Linked DNA regions of Drosophila melanogaster. The gene in region 4 interacts genetically with the main gene of each other region. Each region holds a gene or a part of one and is shown on either strand. Other genes may lie near its edges. The genes, in order: su(Hw), mam, mod(mdg4) and ct.

Region 1 (9,090 bases), on a different chromosome or scaffold from region 4:
TTGACAATGGCTCTATGAGCCCACGAAAGTCACTCAGCGCACAACGATGTAAGGAACAGGTTTGGAGCGATTGCGATTACGATTACTAGGTATCCACTAGGCTGAGGTCTTTGGAAGCGGCTCCAAATTAATCACCCGGCAATAGCGATAGAATGGGGGAATTTTTGTTAGCACCATCAGAAGACAGAAGGCGAAGGAGAAACTTATGAGCGAATCGATTAAAGAAGGTAATTAGATGTTCGGATAACCGCTAATTTCCGACGACATCCATCAAAAGACACGGATTCCTTCAGAAAAAAATGTGCACTCAAAGAAAATGTGTATATATAGCTATTCCATTTCAATTTAAAGAAAGTTCTCTAAGATATTTACAATCTTATGCTTGAGTAAAGTATCTCAATGTCTTTCTAGTCCCATTATCACTTGATAATACTATTATTTTTCGAGTGTACCTAACCCATTCGAGGGGCAGGGGAAATTTAAAATGCAGAGGAGTCGAGATGTGAAAAGAATTCGAATTTAATTTAAGCACAAACCTGAAATATAAGCAATGCTAATGCCAAACCCATAACCGAAATCAAAACGGCGTATACTTAATGAACGACTCGTGTTATGTGTATGATATATGTGTATGTTTGTCGCCTGGCTTACCCATGGGAGCTCGTTTCCCGGAGACATCTGCCGCCAGGATCTGTGCCTCCAGTTCCGCCTTGCACACCGTGTAGTTGAAGCCAGTGGCTCCGATGACAAGGTCAGCGAGATCCGGCGTCGCGCCCTGTGTGGTGTTCTCGAAATCAAAGTCATCGCACTCGATGCCCAGCTCCGATTTGTCCAGCATTGTGTCGCAGACGATCTTGTTGTAGCCGAGATTCACGCGACACGCCTTGTCCAGTGGGAAATTCTGCATGGCCACCGCATTGAACACGGAGGCCATGAAGTAGAAAAAGAAGAAGGGCTCGATGACCAGATAGTGGCGATAGCGCCACAGTTTCTGGAAATAGTTGAGCTTGGGCTCTGCATCCACTGCTCCACTGCCATTTCCAGCCGCATCTGCCGATGACCTTGGCTTTGCCATTTTTTTATAGCACTTGCTGAATTCCTCAAAACTCTTATTTTTTATACGATTCTATTCGATTCGATACGTCTCTGGCTCGGCAGGTTGCTCTAGCAGCACATTTTAAGCGATTTGATCAACACGTCGCGCCAGGTTCTAAGCTCAGACTAAACTAAGCGACGATTCCGGGGATCGGGCCAAGCCAAGCCAGGTCTACTACTCAAATACTCAAATGGGCAGTCGTTTGATACGCACAAGAAACTTGTTCAATCATTTCTTCGTCGCTTTCGGTTCTTATTTTTTTTATTTATTTTGTTTGTTGTCAGCTTCGATTAGAGCAGAACAATGATAAATATGAAGAATTGTCACCGGGCCGTGAACTGTGGAATTCGCACATGCCTCGGGGAGATTCGTTGCTCGCTCAGTTTTACATTCATAGATTGTCAGTCATAGTACACATTCATTTATAAATAAATAATGAAGACATTTGAATACAAGCGGGCTGACTTGATTAAGTTTATAACTATGAAATCTGGTTTTGCAGTTTATGTTGCCTAAATATGCAGCTTAACCTGCTAAATTTTATCATAAACCCGGAACACTTTCGTTGTTTTCTCAACTGCACTTGAACATTTGATCATTGAAATTAAGTAGTTTTGCCAAAACATATAGTAAGATGATACAGCAGTTTTCTCGCAATGAACTTATATATTTATTTTTAAGACTGAGCTATTTAAACATTTATACAAACCAAATCGAAGTTCTTGCAAGTGATTCAAAGTCATGCGGATCACATGCATTTTTTTTCAGTGCGAATGTTATTACATTAGGCGACAACCGAGAATGGAGCTGCACGTGGGATGTTTTTGCGGCATAGCCATGGGGGAATTCCAATTGTACGATTGCAAAGTGCCTTCGATTACTTAGGGCTACAATTAGAGGCAGATGGGTCGTCAGTTTCTACTCCGTCCAACGGTGGGTGCAGTTCTGGTTGGTGCACACGTAGTACAGTCGCATCTCCTCTTCGGCGCGACGAGTTTGCGCCTGGAAGAAGACCGCCTCCCGATGGGAGCACTTGGGACAAGCGTGGTCTTCGGTGCGCGGCAGCGTGGGATCGGAAATCACGTCGGGCACAATGTGGGTCAGCTCGTCGATCTCGTGCATAATCTTGTTCACGTAGATGCAGTTGGAGTCCGCCTCCTGTTTGTAATCGCAATTCCGGCAGGCGTACAGCAGGATCTTGTTCTCCTTGTCCTCCTTGGGGTACAGCATGTTGTTGCACTCCTGGCAGAACCGAATGCCCACGAATCCCGGCCCCTCAGTGTGTGCGGCATCAAAGGCAGTCGTCATGGCTATTGGCTTACAATTATTGCTAGTTAATTGCAATTTGTGAGTTAATGCGGCTTTTATTTACCTTTTTATCGTTGCAATTGGCGAAAGTGTGACCGTGGCAAGGCGGCTTAAATATACCGAGATCATGGGATAGGTATACCTCATTAACATACTAGCCTTTAACCCTTGTGAGCACTGCTATTTTAATTATATGCTTATATATTTTGTTTTTTATTTTATCAAAATGCATATTAAAGAATGCATTTATTTGTATTTTATTCAATTACTTTTTGTATAAAATGTTAAACCTGATAATTATCTTACCGAGCAACGGCTGCGGTGGCCTTCGACTGAAATTATATATAAATAGTGAAATGTTCCATATAAGCTTTATTGTTCGGATCATTAATCTATGCTTACAAAGTTAACCAATAAAAAGTTAATATAATATTAAGCCAGACACCGGCTATTTATTTTAAATTTATGTTGGAATTATTACAAATTTACAACCCAGAAGATTCAAAACAGAGGAAATTTCTTTGTACTTTTCATGGCGGCATGTTCAGATTATTTTTTCACGGGTTGTTGTAATTAATGGTATTTTCCAACCTACATGCAACGGTCACACTGAATTTTCATACACAAACGCTTGTCGTGTTGGAATTTAAAGCATAAAATTAGGTAAATTGTGATTTATTATCGGAAATGCGGTCAAAACCCTTTAAGGAACGCATCCCGTGATATGAGGACATGTTTGTGAAGCAAATACCTTAGCCAGTGACTTGATAATTTCACGCTCTTTATCGGCGATGGCAGTCACTTTCTTTCGCTGCGGAGCAGAAAAGTGCACTTCTAATCAGCAAAATAAGTGGTTAAAACCGATCCTCCACGTCCTTCGCCGGCACAAAATCACATTAAATATTTGAAAAGTATGCTACGGATTTGCGAGTGTATTAGAATTATTTGCTACCCCTTTGAAATACAATTTTATTTCAGAAGAAAACTTGTTGCGTTTTCTGTGCGTCAGGCGCAGGTAGTGTTGTCTCGCTCACACCAAGGCCGATCGATCGTAAAGATCGAACAGCGCGACGCCATTTTTTCTTAGCAGCTTTTGGGCGTGTGTTGGTGACGCTGGCAAAATGTGATGTTCAGTAAATCACGTGCCTAAAAGTAGACTAAAGCGGTCACTGGTTATCCTGATCCTGAATTATCATCCAATCGATCTTAATTGCAGGCTGGTATCACCAACATGAGTGCCTCCAAGGAGGGCAAGGAAAAGAAGGGCAAGCTGCTGGGTGTGGAAAACATTTCGCCGCCTAAGGACAAACGTCCCGCCACCAGGATGAAGCTCTTGAATGACGTGGGAGCTGGTGAGGATTCGGAGGCAAGCACTACTACTACCACATCAAGAACTCCCTCCAACAAGCAGGAGAAGCGTGGCAGTGTCGCTGGATCGCGCATCAAAATACTCAATGAAGAAATACTGGGCACTCCGAAAACTGAGAAACGGGGCGCCACAAAGAGCACAGCTCCGGCTGCTTCCACTGTGAAGATTCTGAACGAGAAAAAGACACCCAGTGCTACCGTGACAGCCGTGGAAACTACCAAGATCAAGACGTCTCCCAGTAAAAGAAAGAAAATGGAGCACTATGTACTTCAGGCTGTGAAATCAGAAAATACCAAGGCGGACACCACGGTTACCGTGGTCACCGAAGAAGATGACACCATTGATTTCATTCTAGCGGATGATGAGGAAGTAGTTCCGGGCAGAATAGAAAATAACAACGGCCAGGAGATCGTTGTCACCGAGGACGATGAGGATCTAGGGGAGGATGGTGATGAGGACGGTGAAGACTCCTCAGGCAAGGGCAACTCTAGCCAGACAAAGATCAAGGAGATCGTGGAGCATGTGTGTGGCAAATGCTACAAGACCTTCCGTCGCGTTCAGAGTCTGAAAAAGCATCTAGAGTTCTGTCGCTATGACAGTGGGTATCATTTGCGCAAAGCCGACATGCTTAAGAACCTGGAGAAGATCGAGAAGGATGCCGTGGTGATGGAGAAGAAGGACATATGCTTCTGCTGCAGCGAAAGTTACGACACCTTCCATGTAAGTCATAAAGATTGATACCAAGAGAAGTAAGCATAACTTTCGCATACCACATTTTCCTTTCAGCTGGGTCACATTAACTGTCCCGACTGCCCCAAGTCGTTTAAGACACAGACCAGTTACGAACGCCACATTTTCATCACTCACTCCGAGTTCAGCGATTTTCCTTGCTCCATTTGCAATGCCAACTTGCGCAGCGAGGCCTTGTTGGCGCTCCACGAGGAACAGCACAAGTCACGTGGCAAGCCGTATGCATGCAAGATCTGCGGCAAGGACTTCACCCGCTCGTACCACTTGAAGCGCCACCAGAAGTACTCATCGTGCTCATCGAACGAGACCGATACCATGAGCTGCAAGGTGTGCGATCGTGTCTTCTATCGGCTGGACAACCTGCGATCGCATTTGAAGCAGCATTTGGGTACACAGGTGGTTAAAAAGCCGGAGTACATGTGCCACACGTGCAAGAATTGTTTCTACAGCCTGTCCACGCTGAAGTAGGTTTTCTAATTGATTTTAAAAGACATAAAGTAATGTTCGGTATATTTTCGCAGCATTCACATACGCACTCATACGGGGGAGAAACCATTTGACTGCGATCTTTGCGACAAGAAGTTTTCTGCATTGGTGGCCCTTAAAAAGCATCGACGCTATCACACTGGCGAGAAACCATACAGTTGCACTGTGGTTAGTCTTAAAACTTCCGTAACTTTTCATTTAACCTATTGTAACAATGCGGTATTCTATTACCTTTTAGTGCAACCAAGCATTTGCCGTAAAGGAAGTGCTCAATCGTCACATGAAACGGCACACTGGAGAGCGTCCGCACAAGTGTGATGAATGTGGCAAGAGTTTTATCCAGGCCACCCAGCTGCGCACCCATTCCAAAACCCATATTCGCCCCTTTCCCTGTGAGCAATGCGACGAAAAATTCAAAACAGAGAAACAGTAAGATATTAAAAAACCTTTTATCTTTTCTGTTAGCCCTACTTACTTATTGCAATTTTGTTTCGCAGACTTGAGCGCCATGTGAAGACCCATTCTCGCACAAAACGCCCCGTCTTTTCCTGCGCCGAGTGCAAGCGTAATTTCCGCACTCCAGCATTGCTCAAGGAGCATATGGACGAGGGAAAACACAGCCGTAAGTTGGAATCGACAATTGGCAATAATCAAGGCTTTAATCCCGCTCCTACCCTTTGTAGCGAAACAACAACGGTCATCAATGCGATCGGCCGTCAAAATTATGGAACGCACGGATTGCGCCATTTGCGATAAGAACTTTGACAGCAGCGATACCCTGCGACGGCACATACGCACCGTTCACGAATGCGATCCGGATGACATTTTTGGCGTTGAGCCGCATCCATCAAAGCGGGCAAAGAAGGACATCGAATCGGAGGAGGTTGTACCAGTGGCGTTAAACACATCGGCGGGCTCGTTAATTTCTAGCCAAACGGACGGGAATGGCGTTGTGGTGCGTGAATTCCTCGTGGACGAAGGCGATGGCGCGGCCCAGACCATTACACTAGAAAACGAAACATACACAATTCTGCCCCTGGACGGGGCCATCGAGGGAGAGCAGCTGACGGATGAGGCTGGCGTTAAGCCCGAGGCGAAGAAGGAGGAGGCGCAGGTCTCGCCGGTGGTAAAGAAAGAGCAGCGTAAATCCCTGGCCGCCAGTCTGGCCGCTGCCATCGCAGATAATTTGGAAGAATCATGTAGCGAGGATGACTTCAGTGGCGAAATTCTAACTGAGGAGGACATAAAGCTCAAAGAGAATGTGGGTAAACTTATTGATATGCTAGTGGATCCACCGATCCTAAAGAAATACGGCTGGCCCAATGCCCCCGAGGAGACGGTGCTCTGCAAAGTGATCGAGAACTGTGGCCACGACCTAACCAAAGGTGGCGAAAACTACGCTGAGCTTGACTACGGTAGCCGCATGCGAGAGTACTGCAAACTGCTCTTTACCGTGGTCATTCACAACGATTCCATCAAGTCGCTGCTCAATAATTTCCCCATCGACGATGTGATCGAATATGTACTGGGAGATGAGGATCAGGACGAAGGTGGATTGGACAAAGACAATGAGTCACATTCAGGTGATGAAGAAGCGGTGTCGGTCACAGGCGAAACTAAAACAAATGAAATCAGAGAGAAACCGGAAAAGAAGGAAGTTTCGGCGAAATCTGAAAAGAAGGAGATCGTGGGGAAAGCTGTGGATAAGGATAACTCAGAGGAGGTGGTCCGGGAAAATAAGAAAAAACCTGTAGGCGAACAAGAGAAAGCTTGATTTTCCAGCCCTTGATGCATGCGTACAATTACCGCACAAAAACCATATTCTAGGAATTGATCGTTGATGATTTTTACAACATTTGTATTTTTAAGATCGTTGGTTTTGGTACAAACACCAAGTGACCTTAAAAGAGAAACTTACCGTCTGTTGCTTGAATATTCAGACATCTTGCGCATTGACAAATTACCCAAAAACAAACAAACCAACATATTACATATCAAAGATATTTTGATATTATTATATAGATTTTATATATTTTTGAATTGAATGATGTTACCAAGCAATATATGCATGGCTATTTTTATAGTACTCTTATTAATTATAAAATATACAAATTCAATATTTTCGATAAAACTCTCTTGAATTTTTAACAATGCTTATTAATCCTCAATGCTTACTGTTCCATCATCAACTTCAGAATACGTGCGTTGTTTTGCAAGATCTTGTGGCGACTCTCGTCGATTAGCTCCCGGTACTCCGCAATGCTGGCTTGGATTTGCTGCAACTGATGCTGCAGGGGCTCCGTGGCAGATGCCGTGAGAGTCTGCTCCCTTTTTAGTTCCGTGGATGCCTGCGTGTAGGTGTCGCGCCACATCGTAAGCTCCAGCTGCATTGCATCAAAATCCTCGGGTATGCAGTCCAGTAGTTTACCCAGCGGACCTATCGACTTGGTGAGCTTTTGGACTACGTCGCGTACGTCGTTCACCTGGCGCGCAGAAGTTTGTCGGCCTGCCTGTGCTGGAGGCGGTTCCACTTCGGCGCCTTGATTGACCAGTTCCTTTTGCGTTTCCAAGATCTGCTGCACCAATCGTCCCTGGGCATCGAGCTGTCCTTCCAATGCCGGTTCGTCACCGCCACCTTCGACAATATCATGGGCGGCGGAATCTTCTATGATCACCAGGTTCTCTCCGTCGTCGTCCAAGTCGCCAAAGGTTTCAAGCTTTACATTTATGCCCGACATTTTGATCTGATCGTTTGGCTGGAGCACGATCTCCACATTGCGACGTCGTGGAGCTCCGGGACGTGCGGAGGCGGGTCGAGCGGATGGAGGTCTAAGTGAGGTTCTGGGCCGTTGATTCACTTCCTTAGAGTTCTCTCTGGTGAGGGGAACCTCCCGCTTCGCTTCGCCGCTGTTGGTCTCCGGTGGAGAGCTGGTTTCTGACGACTGCACCGCTGGCTGGGATTGGCTCTCATTGGGAATGGGATTAGGTTCCGGTTGCCTGTGGCTGCCACTAGAACGGCGACTTCTGCTAGAGGATTTGCGACTCTCAGGCTCAGCTGGTGGAGCAGTTGGAGTTTCCTGGACAGGTCTCACCACTGCCTCCTTCTCTTTTAATGGAGGAACCTGTTTGGGTATACGCATAACTTATGGATTTCTAATTTTAAAGCAAATTAACTTATTTTTCTTACCATTTCCGGCTCTGGTTTGCTTGGAGCACTTTCGCTTGCAGCAGGCTTGGTTGATCCTTCTTCCACTGGCGACATAGACTGGCTAAGATTATCGCTCTCTGTTGAAGGCTGCAGTTTGGCTTTGGACTTCTGCTTAACTGGTGACGGACTCTTTTGCTTCGAGTTTTGTCGACTTAACTTCGTCTCATCCTTGGGTGCCTTGGACTTCTTCTGGGATGCTTTATCCTTCTCGGTGGGGGGAGTAGAACGGGACACCTGTTCTTTGACCTTGCGCAGCTTCTGCTCTTGAGGCGATATACGTTTCTCCTTGCGTCGCTTTGCATCCTCATCCTTGCCGGCGGGTGAGGGATTTTTGCTTGAATTTTTAGTTTCCTTCGGTGGCTTGGTAAGCGTCAGTGGTGTTTTGCTGTGGGAAATCACCACCTGATCCACAATGCTGTCCCACTCCAAGTTCTTTTCCGCAACACTGGCCATCGCCTGGAGGAGCTCATTGGTGAGCTCCGGTTCCTGGCCAGCAACTATTTTTGAAGTGCGTACTTTGAGATCCAGTTTGGTTGTTAGTTCTGCGAAAGCAAACACCTTGTAGCTAATTCAGAGCACCAGCATTGTAAGCCAAACTCACTGGTTGCATCGATCATCTTCTGCAGAAATCGAATCTTATCCTCCCGACTGGTTATGTTCTCGAACATCTGCTCTTCCGGCGTGTATAATCCATCAAATGTGCCACTTTGCTTGATAAACTGTCCACAAATGAGGCTCAACTTTCAATCTTTTTATAGGGGTGAGGGATTTCCAACCACTTACGTTACTAAAGACATCCATTAGAAATCGGAATGGCGGCTTCTTCAGCAGCTTCTCCGTGAGCGGTGGCTTTTTGATGTACTTGCCCAAAAC
Region 2 (7,293 bases), on a different chromosome or scaffold from region 4:
AGAGTCTAGACTCTAGAGCTAGAGGGGCTCTACATAAAGAGTGCTATAGCTAGATGTGTATATGGGCACATCTGTATCGTACATTTCGCATATGATTTTCTGCTGATTAAGGCAAAAGCAAACACACCCGGTCCACAAGCCACTGGAGTCTGCTTGATCGCACTGTATGCGATTGGTTCCAAAATGGGTGCGATGCCTCATGTTCAAAAACCTCTCAAGATTACTTTATACACAAGAACGTGTGTGATCTTACAGTTTTAACTTGAGTTGAATAGGTTTTATTAATAGGTTTTCTTTTGTAAAGTAATCCTTTTATTTTATGGTATCGTTTCAATTGATATCGACGTGCTTGTAAATATTATTAATTATATTACATGGTTACGAACGTAGAAAAACAAGAAACAAATCCTAACCTTATACGAAATGAATACTGCGATTTGAAGAAATGCGCATATATATTTCCCGGCTATCAATTTCAAATAAAACTTTCAGTACCAGGAGCCACAAATGCTTAAGTAAATTGATATCCGCAACTTTGGTCGAAGTAGCAAGTGCAGCTGGCACCACGAATGTTGCCGCGGCAGCAACATTCGCGGCAACATTTACAGCAGCGCAGCAGCAGCCAGAGATGCAGTGGCAGCAACAGCGGCAACATGTACAGCGGCAACAGCAGCAAGTTGTGGCAGCAGCGAAACAGGCGATAAGGAAGAAAGCATAGGCGGCCAATGCGAATGGGGGAAAATGGCTGGAAAACCGGTGCAGAAATGCCAGTCGCCGTCGCCATCGTCTGTGCCTGCGTCTCGGGCTTTCGCGAAAGATTCGCTTGAGTGTTGCTGGTGCAACAACTTGCAACATGCGGCCACTGCACACAATCGTGCGGTGAATGCAGCTGAGCGCCTGCTACAATGCAGCGACCGAACACCTGGAATGGGGCATCCACTTTCGGGATAGCCCGGACTATCCAGCCACAGACACAGCTCCAGCTGCAGCGCCATCCGAAAGAGTCCCATCGTCAACACCCCTCCCCAAAATACGATTCCCAAGTTCCATCTGCACTCGCATTCCCAGTGTCTCAGGTTGCGATTGCCCGCTTTTGAGGGCTGTTTTGCGGCAGCAGGGATGTTTCACTCGAGGGTTGGGATTCCAGATATATTGGGTATTGGGCCCAAAGCCCAAGCACACGAAACGAAAAATAAAACAGCAAACTGTGGGTGAGGCCGCGCTGCTGCACAGGAGAAAAACCCGAAAAAACAAGCGTACAACAAAAGCTCAGCCAAAGCGGAAACCTGTTTTGGCCATCGAGCAAAGTGAGTTGAGTGAGCAAAGAGTTAAGTTGAGCAGCAGCATTGACCCCAACTGACTCAACGACAAAATATGCCACAGAAAAGGACGGCATTAGAGCGTCGAACAGAGATGGCAGACGCACAGAAGGAGATGGAGTTGAAGACTGGAGCCTCGGGAGATCTCTCGTATCCGAATAAATGCAGAACATGGTGCGAAATATTTAATACAAAAATGTTGAAAAGGAGTTTGGCCTGACAAAATAAAGCACCACACTAAACCATGTACAGTGAAATGTTGATAACTTAAACTGGGATTACTGCATATGTTATTCTTTGCATAAGCTGACCTTAGAAAAACATTACCCTGTTTCTTAAATGGAGAAAGTAATGGAGGAGCTTTTAAAAATTTCAACATCAACATATATATACTACAGTTATTTTTTATTTAATCAAATCCACAAATTCACACCCGGAATGAAATTTTTTTTATTTCAAGAATTTTAAGATTGAAATGGTATGCATTTATTTTCTTCTTATTGTAGTTTTTTAACTTAAGTGAAATAAGGCTTATGTTATATGGATTCAAAAATGAATGAATACAGGAAATTCCATGGCGCGCAGTTCGCGATACGGAGGCAAACCTGTAGCAGCCAACTGCAGCAGACGAAGCGAGGTGAGGCCAAGTAAACCTGTTTACAGTTCAAACTTCGCATTCGATATATTCGATGTGAACTCTTTTTTGTTGTGCCATAGTAGGTATGTTCGTCTGGCAGGTTCTGGGGCTGCTTCTTCTTGGCCAACCGAGTTGTTTTAAGCCACCTACGAAGTCGAAGCTTAGGCCGGGTTATCTTCAGCTTAATTGGGTCATTCACACGCGCCACTTGCTCGTCGATAGAGATGGATATACGGCTCCAGAGGGAGATAAAGATACAGCTGGAGACACTGCTGAAAAACACACACAACTTTTTCAGCCTAGCAACAACTTCCGGTGTCTCAAAGACGAAACGAACAAGAAACTAAAGACGAGGCATACATTACATGTTAGACCACTCGAAGACGTACATATGCGAAGACGGGGGCAAAACAAACGGCGGCGAACAGAGGGAGATACATGTATGTAAAAAAAAAAAAAGGAAAGGCAAATAATACTGTTTATCAAGTGATGAAAAGCATTTAAAATGTCGAGTATGCCAGGTATTGTGTTTAAATGCATGCCCTTCGTCGCATTTCGGTTGGAATGCATCTGATATTGGTAAGGAGAATGTTCAAAAGACATAAGCTGAATGCTGTTAATAATTTTAAAAATATTTAAGCAATAAATGCATATATTGCATAATGGCATTAAAACAAAAGGCAATACAGAATTCTTTATTTGAATATTTATTTTGATTTTTGGAGTTACAAAAAACTAACGATAATAATATAAGATGGAATGTTTCGTATACAAAATACAAATAATAAGATCCAAAAGAAATTTATAAATCAATCTTAAAAAACTCTTTAATATTCGAAAGAATTAAAATTCTTCTTTCCCCAAAAATATATATTGAAATATTTCTCGAATTGGTTTTAAAAAAGAAAATTCTAGTATCTTATAGATTGAAGTAACGAAACAACGGTAGATCTCTCCCACACTCAATCTTTTCTACCTACAAGGATCAAACGAAATCAAAGGATCAACGTTGAAGAAGAAGCAGAGAGAGAGAAAGAAAGAATCAAAGACAGGGCAAAAACAAAGTCATCAGTCCAAAGACAAAGGCAAATAAATGGAGAGACAAAAGAGACGGCCATAAAAACTCAACCGACAACTTCTGGATGTGCGAAAGGGACGGCAAGGGTAGAGCGAGAGGTGTGTGCATCCATCATTTTCTAGGCGATGCAAGCAAAAGCAATAGCAACAACCACAACAAACTGCAGTTTGGGCTTAGGAAATTATTTGGCAATTCCAAAGCCTCGAAAAACTGGTCTTGATCCATTTTTAAAAGCCGAGCTTTGACTCAAGCTCCCCTCAAACATAAAAACATCAATCATGCGAAGTTCTACACGAAAAGCGCTTCAAGGTCTTATCAACATGAGAAGAGAAAAAAAGGCATATGAAAACCCGAAATAGAACTGGTTTTGAAATGCAAAAAGCCACCCACACGAAACTAAAACGCTATAAACTAATTAGGCGATAAGAGACTTAACTTACTTACCCAGAAGCTGTGCTGATAATCCAACTTGATTTTGATTTCCTTTGATTTGCTATTTGCTATTTTCCATTTGTTATTACTGTTGTTATTTCAACTTAGCATTTATCCAATGCTTTGAATTTTAATCCAACTGCAACAACAACAAGAACGGCACAATTTTATTAGCTGGCCAATGCAACAACAATCAAAAGAGCAGAAACTCTCCGCTCTCCTCTCTCGATGTCTTCGTGTATGTGCAAAAATCAAAACAAAACACGGCAAAAACACTTATAACTCAAAGAGAGCGAATGAGAGAATGAGAAAGAGAGTGATCCGCTTTGCTTTTGTTTTAGTTTTTAGTGACTGCAACATGTTGAATGTGTTTACTCTTGCCCTAACGGTAAATGCTAGAGCTGCAGTTTAAAAATCCTCTGCTCGTCTCGAATTGAAAATCAAAAATTTACACGCGGCAATTTTCTTTTGCATCACAAAATCCACAATCACTCACACGCACACACAAACACACATATATATATATATATATATATATATATATATATATAAACGCACACCTTTAAAAAGGACGCTGTTGAGGGTTGCATTTTATGTTAAACATAATATTAATTATTTGCTTACTTTTATCTCACAATGCACTCTTAGAAATTTCCACTGTTATGTTATTCATGTGTTTGCATAAAACTGGAGAAATTAAACACGGTATCTCAACAAAAATAAAAGAAAGCCGCCAACAAAATCGGTTATGTTTGACTTCTTTTCACTTTGATATACACCTTAATTCATTTGCTTGTTCAATTAGCATGCACTCCTTAGTTATTTGGTACAGTGTATTTTTTACGAGAGTTCTCGACAATTTTCGAGCGCTAAAACAAAGAAACCGCGCTCGATGATAAAAACCGCGTCCGACTGCCGCTGTTTTTTTGTTGTTTTGAGAGGCGCTAGTGGTGGAACGATGGCTGGGAAAACATCGATAACGCTATCGATCAAGCGATTACTTATCCTTCTGTTGCTGACGATGTTTTCCAGTTGAATGTATGGCAGCACTGCTTATTTAGTCACAAAAATTATATTTGAATTAAAAAGCCGATTTTGTTATCAAGAAATAAATTTTGAAGTGAAAATGTTTTCCACAAATGTTTTAATTCATTAAGTGCCACTTGTCGCAATTAAGTAACTGAATAGGTTTTAAATAATAAGTAAATAAATATCATTGTTAAATATTTATAAATGAGCATTCATTTGCAGCTTTAAATAGATAAACATTTTACATATTTGTACATTGACATCACAAACATTTCAACTAAAATTTAAACTCGTATAACATTACGCTAAAGTATCGCTTAAATATTGGCTCGCATCCCTGGTACTCTTGTTACGTTACGTTATTCGGCAATTACATCAGTCTGGCAACTCTGGCCCTCACACACACTCAGTCGCCCCCCAAATGTATCGGAAACATGCAGCCGAGATAAAATAGTGAAAAACTAGTTACCAAACATAACCGATCAGTGCGGATAATAAGAATTGGCAATTCAAAATTAAATGGTAAACGAACGTCGGCGCGATTAATTAAACTCAACCATAGGAACGCGGAGAGAGTGGCCAGTGAAAGCCAGAACACTCTCTTTCGTCGGAGCGTCTGTGTGTGTGTGTGTTACGTGTGTGCGTATGTGTCTGTGTTGACAAAATACAACAAATCGCAGCGAAAACAGGAAGTGTACGAACGATAAAGCATAAGATTGCACATTTCGCATTAAAATAGGCGACAAAAACCCGGGGGCGCATGCAGATCCACACATTTCTGGCCCACTCACACTCACACAACGCAGATCAGGGGGCGTTTTTCTAGATCAGTGACCAAGTCTTATATGGCTTTATGTTTTGATGCTGCACTAAATATGGGTGAAACATCACGTCATTTATGCCACGCTCCTTCTCCAAAAACAAAGATCATGTTGATTTCACTGCATTTGAATATATATATATATATATACAATAGTTAATGTTCGTGTGCGTCATTCGCTCATCAGCTATATAGTATACGAGTGTTGTTATTGTGGATCGCTTTCGCATGTTAATGCTTTTGTGTGTTATTTTTTCCATTCCATTTTTTTTTTATCAAAGTTTCGCGCTATCGCCCAGTCAGCTCAGAAGCAGCCGCTCCCCAACTGAGAGCACAGAGAAACCAGCTCTGGCCACTTGCTCCTCCGGATCCGGCTCCTGCTCCTGTCCCCGATCCCCTCCCCCACCCGCCAAATCCTGATCCTGCTCCAAATGACTGACGGCGAACAGCAGGAGGCGCTGGTCAAGCGGGCCGAGGACGAGCGCGAGGACATCTTCCGGCGCTACGAACTCGGGCTGGATCCCAGCAATGTGGTGGACTCCTGGGAGAATCCCACCTTCGAGATCTACCACAGGACAGACAAGTGAGTAATATTAATCATTCGCCAGAAAAAATCCCAATAATGCCATTGATGCTCCCACAGATATGGCTTCTTGCACGACTCGCGGCTGCCGTCGACGCGTGATGCCCAGGAGGTGCATCGCAACAAGATTGAAATGGAGCGGGACAAAAAGTGGATGAAGATGCTAAATCAGTGGCCGCCGCCCCAGGATAAGCTGCACAAGCGCGTCTACAAGGGCATACCGGATCGCGTGCGTATGGTGGCCTGGAATAAGCTGCTCGACATCCAGCAATCGATAAACAACAATGCTGGCGTCTACCTCCGAATGCTGCAGCTGGCCAGGAAGTACTCCACGGAGACGCGACAAATCGATGCCGATGTGAATCGTCAGTTTCGCGACAATCTTGCCTTTCGCGAGCGCTACAGCGTAAAGCAGTGCTCGCTATTCAATGTGCTCAACGCCTATAGCATCTACAACTCGGAGCTGGGCTACTGCCAGGGCATGGCCTGTGTGGCTGGCGTGCTGTTGCTTTATTTGCACGAGGAGGAGGCTTTTTGGGCATTAAATACCCTGATAACAGACCAAAAATACGGCATGCACGGGCTGTTTATCGAGGGATTCCCGAAGCTGACGCGATTCATCGATCACCACGACCGCATCATGTCGAAAATAATGCGAAAACTACACAAGCACTTTACCAAACACAACGTTGACGCCCTGCTGTACGCTATTAAGTGGTTCTTTGTCGTCTTCGTGGAACGCGTATGTAAACCACAAGGTGTATTTATTACAAAAATACTTAATAGATCTGTTTTTTGCAGGTTCCTTTTAGTTTGAGTCTGCGCGTGTGGGATATATTCATGTTAGACGGCGATCGCGTCATACTGTCCATGGCCATCACCATTCTGTACCTTCACAAAGACGAACTATTGCGCCTGAAGGACATGGACGCCATCATTGAGTACTTGCAAGTACGGCTGCACAAGAACTTTGGCTACAGCGACGATGATGCCATTCAGGCTCTGGAACGCGTGATGAAGAAGCTGAAGGACCTCAAGTTGGATGTGCCGCCGCCAGCCAAGTCAAACGAGTTCCCCACCCGCAAACTAGGTGACTTCGTGGAGGCGGATATGGAGAAGAAGATCGGGCGCAGACGCAATGATTATACAGACGCGGAGAAGCAAGTCATAACAGATGTGATATCAAGGTGGGATCTCTTGGCGTTGTTAACGTTAACATATTTATAATAATTTTTTAACTTTATTAGACAAGAACAAAACGCGATCGACGTTCAGTCCACAGTGTCCTACGAGACTTCGGAGTGCGCAACGGGTGAGTCATGCGTCACACACAAGTCCTTACACTGTTTATCTACTAATCCTAATGCTTGCTTTAAACAATCCACTTACCCCACT
Region 3 (7,044 bases), on a different chromosome or scaffold from region 4:
CGGCGTTGCCACACAGCCGAAGCACCAGGGCTGCACATTCAATTAGGGTTTCCGGAAGTGGCAACACCGTCCTCAATTTCCACAAAATGGCAACTCCGCATTAATTCAAATTTTAATTCTTTATTTTTTCATACTACAAATATATATATAATATATTCTGTGGATACTTTCTAAATATCCGGACCAGGCGCGCAAAATATAAATTACACGATTCAAACGTTAATATAAATTTTCTCAAATACGCTTAACAATAAAAAAACGAAAATTACTACTACAAATAAAGGAAATATAAGTCGGAAATGCTTCAAGGCGGTCCAACCTTTTGTTCCAAGGTATATAAACTATCGCCTATATGAATTAAAACGGTTTATGATTATCTCTTACCAATTAGGTAAGAGGTCTAGTATATTCTGTTTTTTTTGTTTAAGGTTACCGCGACATCCGTAAATATCGTGAAATTCTTCAGACACCCTTTAATTCGGAACCATATAAAAAAAACACGCAAAATGTTCCATACAAAAAATTTGGAATGAAAAAACAAAATCAGCACGCAAAAAGTAAAACAGAATCGACGCTGCATGAAGAAATAAATTTCCTCTCCACTGATAACGTTAAAAGAGTCTCCCTATACGTATTATTAAAATCTTTCCTTTTTTTTTTACGTGACCACTAAAACGATTAGAAATGAACCTTTACTATAACACAGCGTTATAAATACAATTTTTTTTTTAAGACTCGGCAATCAATGCCGTTGCTGGATTTGCATCAGCAAGCTTTTACGTTGCTTAAACAAATCCAGACAACATCTTTAAGTACGAGTTTGAAAACATAAATAACAACAAACCTCAGTAGCCTTAGCATCACCAGAGGATCATTATTAAACAGAAATGCGCATGCCCAAATAATAACCCCCTGATCATGTAAGATTGAAAACTCCAATTACTCGCTTTGCTCAGTCAAATAAACAATTACAAATGCCTGCAAATTTTGGAAAAATATATGGATAGGTGTGGTTTTAAGAGTGCCGGTATTACCTTGAGTAGTTGCAGCTCTTCACGGGTTCGGCTTCACGTTGACATCAGATATCCATCGTAGCAGCTTCTTAAAATTTCATCACTCTACTTACCTTTTAACTGAATAAGTGTAAAACCGCGCGATCTCCGTCCAGCATTTAACAAATATGCATCGGACAGCAGATCTGCCTAGTGCTCTTTGTCGATTCGAAATAGAACACAGGCCCGTAAACTACTTATTAACTAATGGCCAGCGAAGTATAGCTTAAGTTTGTTCAAAACAAAATTAAACGCACTTTGCCGAACTCTAAAAGGACATGATCCGCTTGCGACGCTAATAGATTTGGAAAGTGTTCAAGTTTGGAATACATATGTGATCTTTTTTTTAACGTGTTTGCATTTCGCAAGCGGACTTAATGTCCTTTAAATATTGCTTATATCTATTGGCCTCTGGCCATGTATGCTTTGCAATTCAACCAACCTTGAGCCTCTGTGTTGCCCTGATCCCCGCTGGTGTCGACAAACGATGATTCACTGTAGTTCTGGGACTGTTGCTTGACCACAGCCTTGGAAGTGGTCGCCGTCACTCCGCCACCGCTCGTATTTGCCGCAGTCTGGTTGCCAGCATCCTCGTTTTCAGTGAAGTAGCTGTCGTCGTAGCGCATGTCTCCGTAAGTATCGTCCTCCACATAGGTGCCCTCGGCATCGCCGGCGGCGTCGCCATGGTCCTCAGAGTAGTCAGGTTCAGATTTCGTGGGCAATTCCATGGGGAGATCAATGTACTCGGCTTCCTCCTGTCGAACCTGCTGCGGCGATTGCTGGTGGAGCTTTGCTTCTGCCGCAGAGACCACAGAGGTTTGCACGGTGATCTGTTGCGGCACAAGTTGGGCGGTTGTCGTGGCTCCAGTTTCAGTGGTCGAGTCGAGAGGGTCCATAACATTTGCGGAGGTGCTTGTCTTGGAGCGCTTTACGCCGGCGCTCGAGGAGGCGGGGGTCAGGGAGGAGCGCTGGGCAGAGCGTTTGTTTGTCGACACCAGCGTCGCCGTCGTCGTGGTTCCCGTCTGCAGCTGCTGCGATTGGATCTGCTGCGCCGCCTGCTGCGGTTGCTGCTGTTGTACAATGGTGGCTTGGGGTGCGGCCGTGGTCTGGATGACGATCTGGGTGGTGCTCTGTTTCTCGTCGCCCAGGCCGTCGTCCACGGTCTCGATCTTGTAGCGGGCGGAGGCGCGAGGCTGCTGGCGCTGCACCCGCTGAGCCGGTATTTGCTGTTGTTGTACATGAGGTGCTGCTGGCGGCGGGCTGGATTCCTGCGGCGGCTGAGGCGCAGGATCGTTCTGAAAAAAAAATATTGGTTTTTTAATTATTAACATATATTTTAGGAATAAGTGAAAAGATATTTTGTATGTTCTAGCACCTCTTTAAAAATGAACCACGATCAAAACTTAATAAACTTTAAAAGTATCTGCATTTAATAAAATGGACGATTTCAAAACTATATGTTGAAAAGAATTATTCCGTTAGAATGGAATTTGCAAAGAAATAAGAAATCTGGCCATTAATTAGTAAAGTACGCCTTCCTTGAATTGGGAAACAATAATACATTTTCTAGTTCCGATGCCTGTTTCTTTAGGTACAGCTGCACTAAATTTAATTTTGCAAATACGTTAATTTTAGTCGAAAACATTAAGAGATATTTCCCAATTTAAACATTAGTTTAAAAGCAAAAAATGTTTATGCTTTGGCATCGAATTCGCTGCGAGACAAAAACAACCACTCCAATTTGCCGCTGCCGTGCGAGCCAGAGCGAGACAAACGCTTCGCGTATAGCCCCTGCAGTTGTCTCTCTCTGGCACGCGTGCCTTTTGGCATTTGGTTTGCGAGAAATTTCTCGGTACAGTCAAACCATGCTCTTATACAGACGCCAGCCATCGCGTCTGTATGTATTGGGCGCGAAAGGTTGCGTTGTAGTTGCTCGATTCGATATACCAGTATATCACGCACACAAATGTATACATATACTCACATCCGTTAGCCCCTTGATTTGCAGCGATTCCGCGGTGCTAATAAACGCGGGCAGGGCGTCCTGCTTCACGTTGACCTCGCCGCAGTACATGAATTGGATGAGGTCCTTCAGCGCCGAGTGGCTGACGTTGTTCAGGAATACTGCAAGATAGGCGAAGAGAGTATAAGGTAAAAAATCACGTAGAGCTACAGATCTGAGCTGAGGGGCACAAACTCACCGATAGCGTGGGTGTTCGACGGCATCTGAGTGAACATCTTGCGGAAGAAGGGCGAGCAGACGGATAACACCAATCGGTGGGCCTTCACTATTTGGCCCTCGGCGGCCAGCGAGACGTCCACCAGGTCGCCGCGGCATAGCGACTCGTGGAAGCCGGCCGACAAATTCGTGTTGAAGTTGTTCCAGCACAAGCTGAATTGCTCGTCGTCCGCCATCTTGGACGAAAATCAATACTTTTCTGTATCTATGCGTTTGTTGGCTGCAGGCGAAAAAGTGCAATGCGCGTTTAAAACTCAATGCAGCGAGTGCTGAAAAATGGCAAAGGCACACACAAAATAGAATGCACTGCAGCCAAAAAAAACTGGGAAATTTTCACGCGTCTGTCTGTGTGTGCGTGTGTGTAAATTACATTTATCTCGCTTAATGACCGCAACCTACTGTGTATATTCACTTGGGGCGCCATTACTCACCTCTTGACTAAATATTTTTCCAATAAAATAACTAACTAAAGCCAGAGTTTTTTGCTAGCGCGGCCGACACGCAGAACGCGTCCGAGTTCTTTGACGTGAAAATTAGAAGTGTTACCAGGCGACGAGATTGCTGGCGATGGCAAAACAAAAAGTGACAATATATCGATAGCTTAAAATATTTATATCGAAATACTTTTATGAATATTGATAGTTGATGTGCTTTGATATTTTTTTTTTAAATGTTAGTACGAAAATCACATAATTAAGTTCATAACTTTTTGAAAACTTTTACATACTTTAGTTTACATATGCTGTAGGATTTTAGTTTGCGGGTGTGTTAAAAAAGGTTGTAGGACTAAGAAAATATCGGCCTAAGTATACGATGTATTTATGTTATGACGAAATTTCTTATTTCACAACAGTTTTGTTGTCTAGCTTAATGTTTAATTTATTTTAAATGAAATAAAACAAAATACAAATTAACGAGTTTAAAGACTAGCAGTCAAACTAGCACAACTAGAATAAAATTCATAAGATAAACAGAAAAATTTTAACTTTTTTAAATTCTCCTATTTTTTAAACTGGGCCTTCGATTTTTTACGAATGGAGGATTATTTTCTAGCGGAATTCATTATAACTCTGACAAACTCTTATGGAGCGCATCGTCACTACGTAAACCCTACACTCTGAATGCACAAGGGCACTATATTTTTAAAAAAAAAGTGACTTAATAGGATTATAAGAAAGGCAAATATTCGCTAAAAGTTCTTAAACATACCAAACAAAATATGTATGTACATAATATGTATATCTGTGTACTGTATGTACATATGCACTACATATGCAATTATATACATATGTGAACACGTTTTTGGTGCAATGCCAAGATTCGAAATGAAGGTATTCATCCCATAAAGGCGAAATATTATTAAAAATGTTGCTCTATTTAGACAACTTCACATATCCATGTTATTCATCTCTATTAAATCATAACAGTTTCAAGTGAAATAAACAATAATATATGAGAGCGTAACGTTTAAACCAAACATATTCCCCACGATTTATTTATTTGTTAGCTTAGTACACTCTTAAAATCAAGTGTGCGAAAATCTGCACTTGAGCGCCACTTGACAACCGTTTAATACACAAGACGCGCGGACAAACGTAAATACATGGGGACTATAAAACTTAAGGACTTTACGATAATAAATACGGATACTTAAGCTCAAGTAGCGAAACAAAATCAGCATAAAGTGGCTGCGAACAAACAACTAATAACAACGGGGAGCAGCTGGAGGAGTCGGTTATTGAATCTGATAGTCAGGTACAATGTGTGCGATTGTGCAAAGATACTTTCATACATGCATACAAGCATACATGTTTGGAATTAGTGATGGACAGAACTTAAAATATATTGTCAATACCATATATATTCTTAAGCTATTAGATTAAATTTACAAATGTAATACATAAATTAGTTTTTTATATTTGGATACATATTTTATAAATCTCCTAAGCATATGACAGCCTCGCACATCTCTAGCGCAGAAGAGCGAGATGCCGCACTCGCATTCCGATGCTGTGCTGTGATTGGCTCCGGGGCGGCCATTTTGCCCGTATGCTCAGTTCGCTCACACACATCCAAAAACACAGTGGCATGAGGCGGTCTGGGGTGAAAGGAGTACGCGTTCAGTACCAAAATCGAGCTGACAAATTGCAGACACGGTCGAGTGCGCATCGGAACGGCGCTTTACGGCTTACGGGTTACGGACTACTGATTGCCGATTACGGGCTACGACTCACTTACGGTTGCGCTAACGGTTGCGTGGAGTGTTTGCTCGATTACTGGACTACCGAGATTCCAATTCAAGTGTCGCAAGTTCAAGTGCGATTTGGCAAATTGTTGGACTTATTTAAATCGAAGTGCTTCTCAAGTGGCCAAGTGATCGCACAGCGAGGATGTTGCAGCACCATCAGCAGCAGGCTCAATCGGGTGGCTACTACGATCACTACACTCAGTCCCCCAGTCCGGGCAGCCTGACGAACGCGGATGCCCTGAACACCACTCCATTTTCGGTCAAGGATATCCTGAACATGGTCAACCAAACGGAGGCCTACGAAGGTTCCTACGGGCATATCGATGGGTAAGCTTGGAAGTTTTGAATCAATTATACATTAAGGGTCAAAAGCAACTAAAAATTGGGGTACACCAATAGACTAGTTCCAAGGTACTGTGTTCTACATGTTACCAAAATCTACTAAATCGAATCAGTGTACATATATGATATAAAACTAATTATTATACCGGTTAACTATCTAAATTGCAATGATTTAAGAAGGTATCTGTGCAGTTCAGAGAGAGACCAACTGTTAGTTGAGCCATTTTTAGCTATCAACTGGCATACATGGACATTTCCACCACTTCTACCTGTCAGTGACTTCTTCTCGAAGACAGCGCCCTTCCCCGTCCCGATCGCTTTTATTTATTTTTATTTAATAGGGCTCCATAGGAAAATTAATTTCTACCAATTTTCCAAAGAAAGATAATATTTTGATAACCTTCCGCCGAGACGTAGCAGAAGAAATCCTATGAAAACACATAGAAAGCATGAATTGCAAATAGGATCTGGGATCGGAGAGCGTCAAGCGTTGAGCGTTGAGCTCGAGGCTTTGACAAATCATCGTTATTTGTACAAGAGGCCGAAGACAAAGACGAGGAGAGACAGTGTTAACAATAAGAACAACAATGTCCGAGGCAGGCAGTCGGGAGTCACGGCGATCGCTGGTCCGCCCGATCCCTTCTGGGCTGGTCAACATGTGTGATTCGCATGTGTGGACCGCCGCACAGGGGCGTCCTTAATTGCCTGATGAGCCATGAAATGATGTCACCATGGATCCTGTCGCGCCAGCAGGAAGTGGGCAAAAAGTCCTCGTCCCAGCTCCCCGGGCTGTGTCCTCCGTGATGCAACATATGGCGGCCATATACGAGACTTTGTATTGCCTTGTTTCTAACCTTGCGCTTTTCCATTTTCCTGCTTTCCCGCAGCGCGGCGACTGCCTCGGCGCTCTTCGCCGCCGGTGAGTACCAGAATCCCCACCAGTACCTCAACCACCAGCAGCATCAGCAATCCGAGCTGCCGATTCCGCAGCAGCAACTGCATCACCAACACTTGGACGATGGCGCCACCACATCGTCGTCCCTATCGCCACTCTTGCCACCCCCGCCGCACCAGCTGTACGGCGGATACCAGGACTACGGTATGCCCGCCCACATGTTCCAGCACCATCACGGACATCCCCACCAGAGTTTCCAGCACTCCGC
Region 4 (7,432 bases):
GAACTCAATTTTTAATAATAATTTCCAAATGATTTTTTATTTCACATTATTAGTTGCGTGGTAGTTCAGATCGAGTTCGAGTTCTCGGGTTCAGATCGCCATCTCCACCCACCCACCACAAGCTTTTAATTGTTCGATTTTCATTTCGATTCGTCTCGTTTCGTTTCGTTCGGTTCGTATAGTATAGTATAGTATGGTATAGTATAGTATCGTTTCGATTCGTTCGTCGCATTTTGTTATAGATACTATGTATGTGTACCGATGTGGATGTGATGGACATTTCGGTTTCTGTTTTTGCTGCTGCTGCTGCCGATGCCGCTTCTGTTTTAATTTCCGTGCTGACAAATTAATTTAATTATATTAACATATCTTTCCAGCGATCGAACGATTGAACTGACTGAAATATTTTCATATACCATGCGTGTGTGTCTACATACATATGTATGCATCTGTGTGCTGTGTGGGTGGTTGAATTCGGTCTGTGATTCTTGGTATAACCCCTTTTTCAAACACCCCCCCCCCCCCATTCATCCACGTTTCGGTTTCTGTGACTCATTAGCTGGCTTCTCTGCCAGAGAGCGAGTAAATTGCACTTAAAACGCTAAAAATTATACGACACACGCCGCCGCTCAGTCCACCGATCTGATCTCTATCTGTATACTGTATCTGGCAATATGGTATCTATGGTTTGGTATAGCATGGTATGATATCGTATATGTGTACAAGGTATCCGTGTGCTTCCAAGGGCTTAAGGGACAACCCTTGGCTGCTCATTTTCGGCATATGCAAATGCCGGGACGCCATCTTTGAAAATTAAACTTTATAAACTATCAATGCTCGTCCCCGGTATTCCGCATTTCGTATTTTATATCCGTATCTGCATCTGTGATGGTGCTATGGTGGTGGTGACTACCCTATAAACCGGTTTCAATTCGATTAAAACGGAACCCAAACTCGATTTACTCTCATCTTTTCAATTCAACTTTTCTATTTTTTTTTTTTTAATATTTTTTAAGTCAGCAAATGCATTTGGCAATTAGTTCGGTTTTGTTGTCTTTCCATTTCCATCTTTTTTTTTTCTAGTTTGAATCAGCACAAATCAATGACAAAAACCTCATCTTTCATCTAGTTTTCGGTTTATGGTTTTTCGGATTTCGGTAATTGTAGAAGCTAAACAAAAAATCTGTTCGATGTTAATGGGTCAAGTTTATAGATTGCATTACGGAAATTAATTTTGCTCTTTTTAACTTTTGGTTCTTCTTTGGCTTCTGCTTTTTGTTCTTGCACTTGTTTTTTTTTTCAATTTTTTGTGATCGTTTTTTCGGTGCCACCGTTCTATATATTTAATGACAAAACTTTGTGTTAATCAAGCACATTTTTATTGTTGCTTTTTCGAATTCGATTTGTGTCAATTTTTTCGCGCGCGCTCTGTTCTTGAAATGTAAATAAATAAATAAGTGAAATACTATAAAAATTGTTTTATCAACTCATTTGGACAGCTGTAGACGTCTGTCTGCGGTTTGTTTAATTTATTTAATAAGCTTCTATTTTTGGTTGGCAAATTTAGTTATGTTGAATAACCTTTTTTTCTGCCGCAGAGAAATGGTATTTATGGATCGAGTTCTAATTTTGTTTTGTTGATCAGCATGCGAAGGCATGACGAAACCTTTCAAATATTGATTCATTGATCACAATCGATCATTGGTTGAGGGATCTTGAAAGTTATAGAAGACTTGAAGCTTTTGAAAGCCATTAAATGATCGTTAGGAAAGAGGAAAAAAGAACCCAAAACAGTGGCGCCTTTAGATGGGGTTTTGTGTTTTCGTTTAGGCCGCCAACACTATGCTCTATCACTATGTACATATCTAACATTTAAATATAACAAGCAAATGCATTTAATTAAATAAAAACCGGTTCTATTTGAGATCAGCAAAGCCCCATTCATAAAATCCTGTGTACACCACTGACTTCAAGTAATCCTAACGAGTTCTGCGGCTTCTCATCTTTTTGCCTTTGTTGTGGTTCTCCGGAAAAAGTCGATAGGATAGCTTTTGGTTTTGCTTATTTAAGTTTTATTGATTGCAGTTTGCATCGCCATATCTTGTACAAAAATATTTGTGGAGCGGGAAAAAACGCCATTCACCGACGGCAAATGTCTAGATTTTCCGGGAATTTTTCCATGTCTGTCTTTCACTGTGCGCGTCTCTCGCTTTTCACGATCAATCGAAGAAGAAACTCCAATTAAAAAATTTGCCCGGCTGTCGACGCAACCTAATTAACTTGCCAAACCATATAGAGAGTATTTTTATATATAGAAATATTCAAAAATATATACAGCAGTTGATATTTCCATGTCTGGTCTGGCAGATGATTTTCTTTTCCCCTTTTTGGCCTCTAATGTTATTTTGCCGCCTTATTTGTTCGGAGTCTGGCATTTGGCCAGCGAAATTCTCAGCATCGTCTGGCCCCCGCCTCCCGATTTTCCACGCCCCCTTTTACAGCGAAACCCCCATCTGAATTGTCTCTTCCGTCTGGCCGATCTTGTCTGGCTTTATCTTTTTCGGTTCACTGGTAGTAGAAAACAGAAAAAAAAACGCTTCAAAAAAAAAAAAAGTTATTCAAGCAATAAACTGTTCACTTATTACTTGCTTGTTGCACTTTGCATTTGTTGTTTTTGTTTTGTGCAAACAAATTTTTTTTCAGAAATCAATAATAGCAGAAAAAATAAATAAATTTACAACAAGAAATTAGACAACAATAACGGGCCAGCAACAATAAAAACACATTTGCCATAGACACGCAAACTCAATTAGTTAACTTAAGTTAAGTTAAGCAGTTTGCGGGGCCAAAATATGGGGGCTGTGTGGGGTTAAAGTGGGCGGCTGGGCGCACTAGGGTTATTGTTGTCAGCTGTGGGAGTTTCCAGTGAAATGCAACGAATATCACAGAACTCGGGAACTATTCACTGTTTAGTTACAATGATAATTGCAAATTTGTATATGACTTTTTAGTCTAATCAATGTATGGAAAGTTCTAATTTTAGCTTATAACGTTTTAAAGGCTTTCGGGCTTTTCGCGTTACGCTCCCTAAACTTTTCACTTTGAATACACAATACTGTATGAATCGAATTCATTTCATTCATATAAAGTTAGAAAACGCAAGTATCAAATTTTATGCTACATATAACAGGTGTAATTTCATCTTTTTGTTGACAAAAATAAGATACACCTTGCATGTAATATAAACGTAAGACTGTTTGTCAATGCGAATAAAAGTGAGAACAGAAGATAAAACACTTTTGCACCGAACATTTTACGAACCCGTAATCTCAGCTTGTTTGGCCAATTCATTGAACTATATTCATATTATTATTCTTGAAACACGAAACTTCTTGCTTTTAAGCACCGTTTTCCATCGTTTTGCTAACTTTTCTTACCTGTTGCCAAAACTGTGCCAATAAATAAATTTGCTCCTTTTTGAAAAACCAATCGTTGATTGATTGAACAGCCGTCAGATCCATATCGGCTGTCCCAGCGGCTTGTGGCAATGTTGGCTGCATTCGTGGGCTTTCTTGGGTTAATTCAATAATTCTCAGTCAGTTTTTGCTTAGGTTTTTTTGGGGTTTTCAGTTTTTGGATTCTACCAATTTGGGGCTAATAAGGCCTGGCATTATTCTGTTCTGTTGTCGTTTCGATTTTACTTGTTAGTTAGTTGTTATTTAATTCGGTTTTCGTTTTTAGTCATCACATTTACACCTTAAGTAGTATGTTTCTTGTTACGTGCTCAAAAAAATGCATAAATAAGCCAATTTCTGTGTGTTATTATTATTATTATTATGGTTATGTTATGTTTTATATTTTGTTCACTTTAGTTCCGAAAAAGAATTTTTTTTGATTTTTTTGGAAGGGGGTTTCTTCTTGTTGTTGTGTGGGGGATTTTGTTGTAGTCGTTTGTTGAATGGTGAGGGTATGATGTTGTTGTTTTGGTTGTTGCCTGTTGTTGTTGTGTGTGTGATTTTTTCAAGCCATTATCATTATGTTGTTGCTTTTTGGCTGTGGCTTATTTTGCACATGTTTGCTGTCGCTGTTGTTGCTTTTGATGTTGCTGTTGTTGTTTACACTTGACACTCATACACGCGCACATATTTTAGCGAACAAAAATGCACTTGAAAAAAATAATAAACAGTTATATTATACGTTCGTTTAGTCCTTTTTGATTTGTTTGGCTGTGTGCTGTTTTGTTTATAAATATGATCAATACGTTTCTTCTTCTTGGCAAGCGAGATTCATTCTTTTGCAATTATTTTTTTATGAATTTTTTGTATGAAGTGGGTGGGGGGATTCTTCTGCACACACACACACACGACGTACACACACAGTGAGAGAGAGGGGCACACACGCACACACACCCGCGCCGCGGCTAAGAAGAAGAAGCTGCACTGCCTTGTGGGGCAGTAGAATCCAAAAATCTTCTGAAATTCTCGATTTCTTTCGGCGACGGACGAACGAAACGACGTTGCCAGTCACGAATGCTGTTGATGACTGAACAAATCGAACGTTAACGAAGCGCCGACAACCCTCTGCCGCAGAGAGCGCCGACAGCGGCGTTGGCAGCGACAGAGGCGCCACAAACACACAACACACTCATGCAGCGCAACTCTCTCGCTCGCTCTCTCACGCTCCGCGCAAGAGAATCTCACTCAATTCCCGTGCACTGCTTTTGATTTCTTTCAATAGCTTTTTGATTTTCTCACTTTTTTTGCGCTTTCCTTCTCGGCTTTTTTTTTTACTCTTATTTTTGAGCATTTTTCTGCGCCGTCGCATGTCAGTTGCATGTATTGAAATTCATTCATTCACAGACACTTTGGCTAGTGCCCTCCCGCTCGCACATCGCTTTTCTTATTGGAAACGAAAGAGCCAGGCGCTCGCCTCTCTCCACTACTGCTTGTTGTTGTTGCTTATTGAGCGCAGGATTGAGTGCAACGTCGACTGTGACGCTGGCGGAGGGATTGAGATTGAGGATATTTCGGAAAGTTGTAATATTTTTTGGCTTTAGGGGGATTTACCTGGAATTCAAGTATTATTCTGAAACTGATAAGTTTTAAAGTTAAGAACTAAAGAACTAAAAGTTCCACGAGATAAGTCTTAGAATTAAAAGCAGCTGCTATATTCATCAAATGTTCGAACATAGTAAACAATAGTAGAAAGTGATGGAAATAAAAAAGTAAATACGAAGTGTAAATTAAGCTAAATGCAACAAACAATTCTATGTTTTGTTGTTTAATTTAATTTTTATGTTTTTTTTTAGAGGTAAATGTAACATTTAGAAACAATCTGTCCTTTCCAAATTTCCGCCACTTTATGATGCACCTTAAATTGCATTCCTAACTTAAGTCCCTTGGCTGGCTGTCTCTGTTCGGCTCTTCAAAAATCCATGGAATATTAAATTGGAGAGTAAGCCCCTTCTCAGCCTCCCGTTATTTTGTGTTTTTCCGCAAACCCCTGGAATTTGCAGTCCCGTTGCGGGATTTTCGCATAAAGAAAAGTTCAAATTGTATCGAAGCGCCAAGTGCAATGCAGACGCCCCCGACCCCCTTGGTATTCTCACTCCCTATTTTTCTACTAAACCCCATGATTTCTGCTGGGCGGGGAGGGGCGATGTGGTTGGGATTTTCCAAGGGGTTATGGCTTACACCTAAACTGAGACTGAGAACCCAAGTCGCAGTCGCAGATGCGTTGCTGCAGTCTGAGAGGAAAATCGGTTGAAAAGCGGTTAGGATTTGGGTGGAAAATTGTTGGTAAATGGGGTGTACGGGGAATATTGGGGGCTTGGATCTGCTCGGGGACTTCGTCGTCGGCTTGCAAAATAACGAAAATAACGGGAGAGCCGAGAGAAAGGGCAGCGCCAACTACACGAAGACAAAAAACGATGCTCGGTTCCGCCGTCGGCGTCGAAAAATGTACTCACCCCGAAAAAAATACTCATTTCATTTTATTGCTCCTAGTTTACCCCCAACTGCCAACCCACCCACAAAGGTGAGGGAATTTAGCCACACATTATTGGGGAAACCAATAAGGGATTTTTATATAATTTCGTTAATACATACATTATGCCATTATATACAAAAATGCAATATACAAGTATTCAATATATGGTTCTTACAAATTTAAAAAAATTATCACTGCATGTTATAATTATCATGAAAAAAAATGACTGATGAAATTCGTAAAAGTAATGAAGTACAAAGAAAGATTCGTTCTTAAAAATGACAAGACGAGAAATATTAAAATATACATACATACTATGCAATATTACAAATTATAAGTGCATTGAAGACCCCTACAAATCGCCCATATAGAAACAAGTGTCCGCCAACCAGCAGAATTCCAACTGGATTAAAAACGGCGGAATTCAAGAAACCACTCAATCCAAATACTCACAAGATATTCACTCACTCGCTCTCCTGTCTTTGAGTCGAAAATGCAAGGGGTTCGAACTCGTTTTCGAAATACTTTCGAACTTCCATCAAGACATCCAACTTATTAAAAGTTGATTACCTTACCTGTTCTATGTTATGTTTTATGTTTTTAAGCTATTTATGTTCTTGATTTGCTTTATAAATATCTATTATTGTTTGGATTTGCTAAACATACTGTAAATTTCCAGGACATTTAATAAAAATTCATTTTCATTGAAGAGGATGCAAGATGTTGACTCAGTTTCCGGTAGTAAGAATAGTTCTTATATTAATGGATAGATTTTTGGTTTAACCGGTTTTTTTTTAACAAACAAGTTTTATAATTTAATGACAATTAATGTTTTTTTATTAAAAATAATTGAATCAAACATATTAAATAAGAATTTAAAAAAACTAAAACTAGCTCAAGCCCCAAAAAGCACTCATATAGACAAGCGCTCTCGATTTTCGATAATTCGCATAATAAAAACCAAATCGCACACACATAGCCAAGTGTCACATAAAAAGTCGAAGAAGAAAAGCCGTGGCAGAGACGCCGACTGAGGCAGCGGCAGTAGCAGAGGGCAAGAGACTGACAAAAAAAGAAGAAAAAAGCGAAGCAAACGATTTAAGCCCCGCCCCATTTGATTGGCGAGCAAAAAGAAAAGCAGAAATACAGAAAAGCAGACGACGACAACGTCAATGGACAACACACATACTCATGTATGTCACACGTGTGCGACTGTGTGCGGCTCTGCTGCCGTCGACGTCGACGTCGCAGCTACCTGCGAGGGGCATCCAATATCTGTTGCTCTCCCCAAAACTTAAAAACATCAACAAGGAATTATGAAGTTTGTAAAGAAACTTAAATAATAAAATTTTAAGATAAACAAAATTTACGGATTTTGTTAGAAACCAAAGCAAAATGGTGAAATGGATTAAGTATAGACTTAAAAATATACATGCGAATTACA

Evidence for each region.
Region 1: of ct (region 4) and su(Hw), changing one suppresses a phenotype caused by changing the other (phenotypic suppression), as found in Drosophila melanogaster (7 studies listed by BioGRID).
Region 2: of ct (region 4) and mam, changing one enhances a phenotype caused by changing the other (phenotypic enhancement), as found in Drosophila melanogaster (2 studies listed by BioGRID).
Region 3: of ct (region 4) and mod(mdg4), changing one suppresses a phenotype caused by changing the other (phenotypic suppression), as found in Drosophila melanogaster (7 studies listed by BioGRID).

The regions. Positions count from the first base shown.
Region 1 is NT_033777.3:14,302,501-14,311,590, reverse strand, and holds su(Hw) (suppressor of hairy wing), read left to right. Parts: upstream 1-3,001; 5' UTR 3,002-3,315; intron 3,316-3,382; exon of another isoform or gene 3,383-3,556; intron 3,557-3,620; 5' UTR 3,621-3,635; coding exon 3,636-4,493; intron 4,494-4,559; coding exon 4,560-4,987; intron 4,988-5,044; coding exon 5,045-5,177; intron 5,178-5,247; coding exon 5,248-5,438; intron 5,439-5,506; coding exon 5,507-5,631; intron 5,632-5,692; coding exon 5,693-6,783; 3' UTR 6,784-7,136; downstream 7,137-9,090. Other genes in the region: CG31321 (uncharacterized protein), read right to left, coding at 652-1,075; Polr2I (RNA polymerase II subunit I), read right to left, coding at 2,015-2,404; IFT54 (intraflagellar transport 54), read right to left, coding at 7,181-8,131, 8,197-8,759, 8,819-8,936, 9,001-9,090. UniProt on the Drosophila melanogaster protein: Component of the gypsy chromatin insulator complex which is required for the function of the gypsy chromatin insulator and other endogenous chromatin insulators.
Region 2 is NT_033778.4:13,988,290-13,995,582, reverse strand, and holds the start of mam (mastermind), read right to left. Parts: upstream 4,381-7,293; 5' UTR 4,091-4,380; intron 3,606-4,090; 5' UTR 3,479-3,605; intron 1-3,478. Other genes in the region: RN-tre (uncharacterized protein), read left to right, coding at 5,747-5,898, 5,959-6,640, 6,700-7,085, 7,146-7,210.
Region 3 is NT_033777.3:21,373,566-21,380,609, forward strand, and holds the start of mod(mdg4) (modifier of mdg4), read right to left. Parts: upstream 3,837-7,044; 5' UTR 3,723-3,836; intron 3,512-3,722; 5' UTR 3,468-3,511; coding exon 3,254-3,467; intron 3,177-3,253; coding exon 3,037-3,176; intron 2,348-3,036; coding exon 1,495-2,347; intron 11-1,494; exon of another isoform or gene 1-10. Other genes in the region: tin (tinman), read left to right, coding at 5,682-5,866, 6,769-7,044. UniProt on the Drosophila melanogaster protein: Component of the gypsy chromatin insulator complex which is required for the function of the gypsy chromatin insulator and other endogenous chromatin insulators.
Region 4 is NC_004354.4:7,605,544-7,612,975, reverse strand, and holds the start of ct (cut), read right to left. Parts: upstream 3,829-7,432; 5' UTR 3,561-3,828; coding exon 3,438-3,560; intron 1-3,437. UniProt on the Drosophila melanogaster protein: Regulator of cell fate decisions in multiple lineages. Specifically, functions as a determination factor that specifies sensory organ identity in precursor cells. Probably also involved in cell type specification of Malpighian tubules.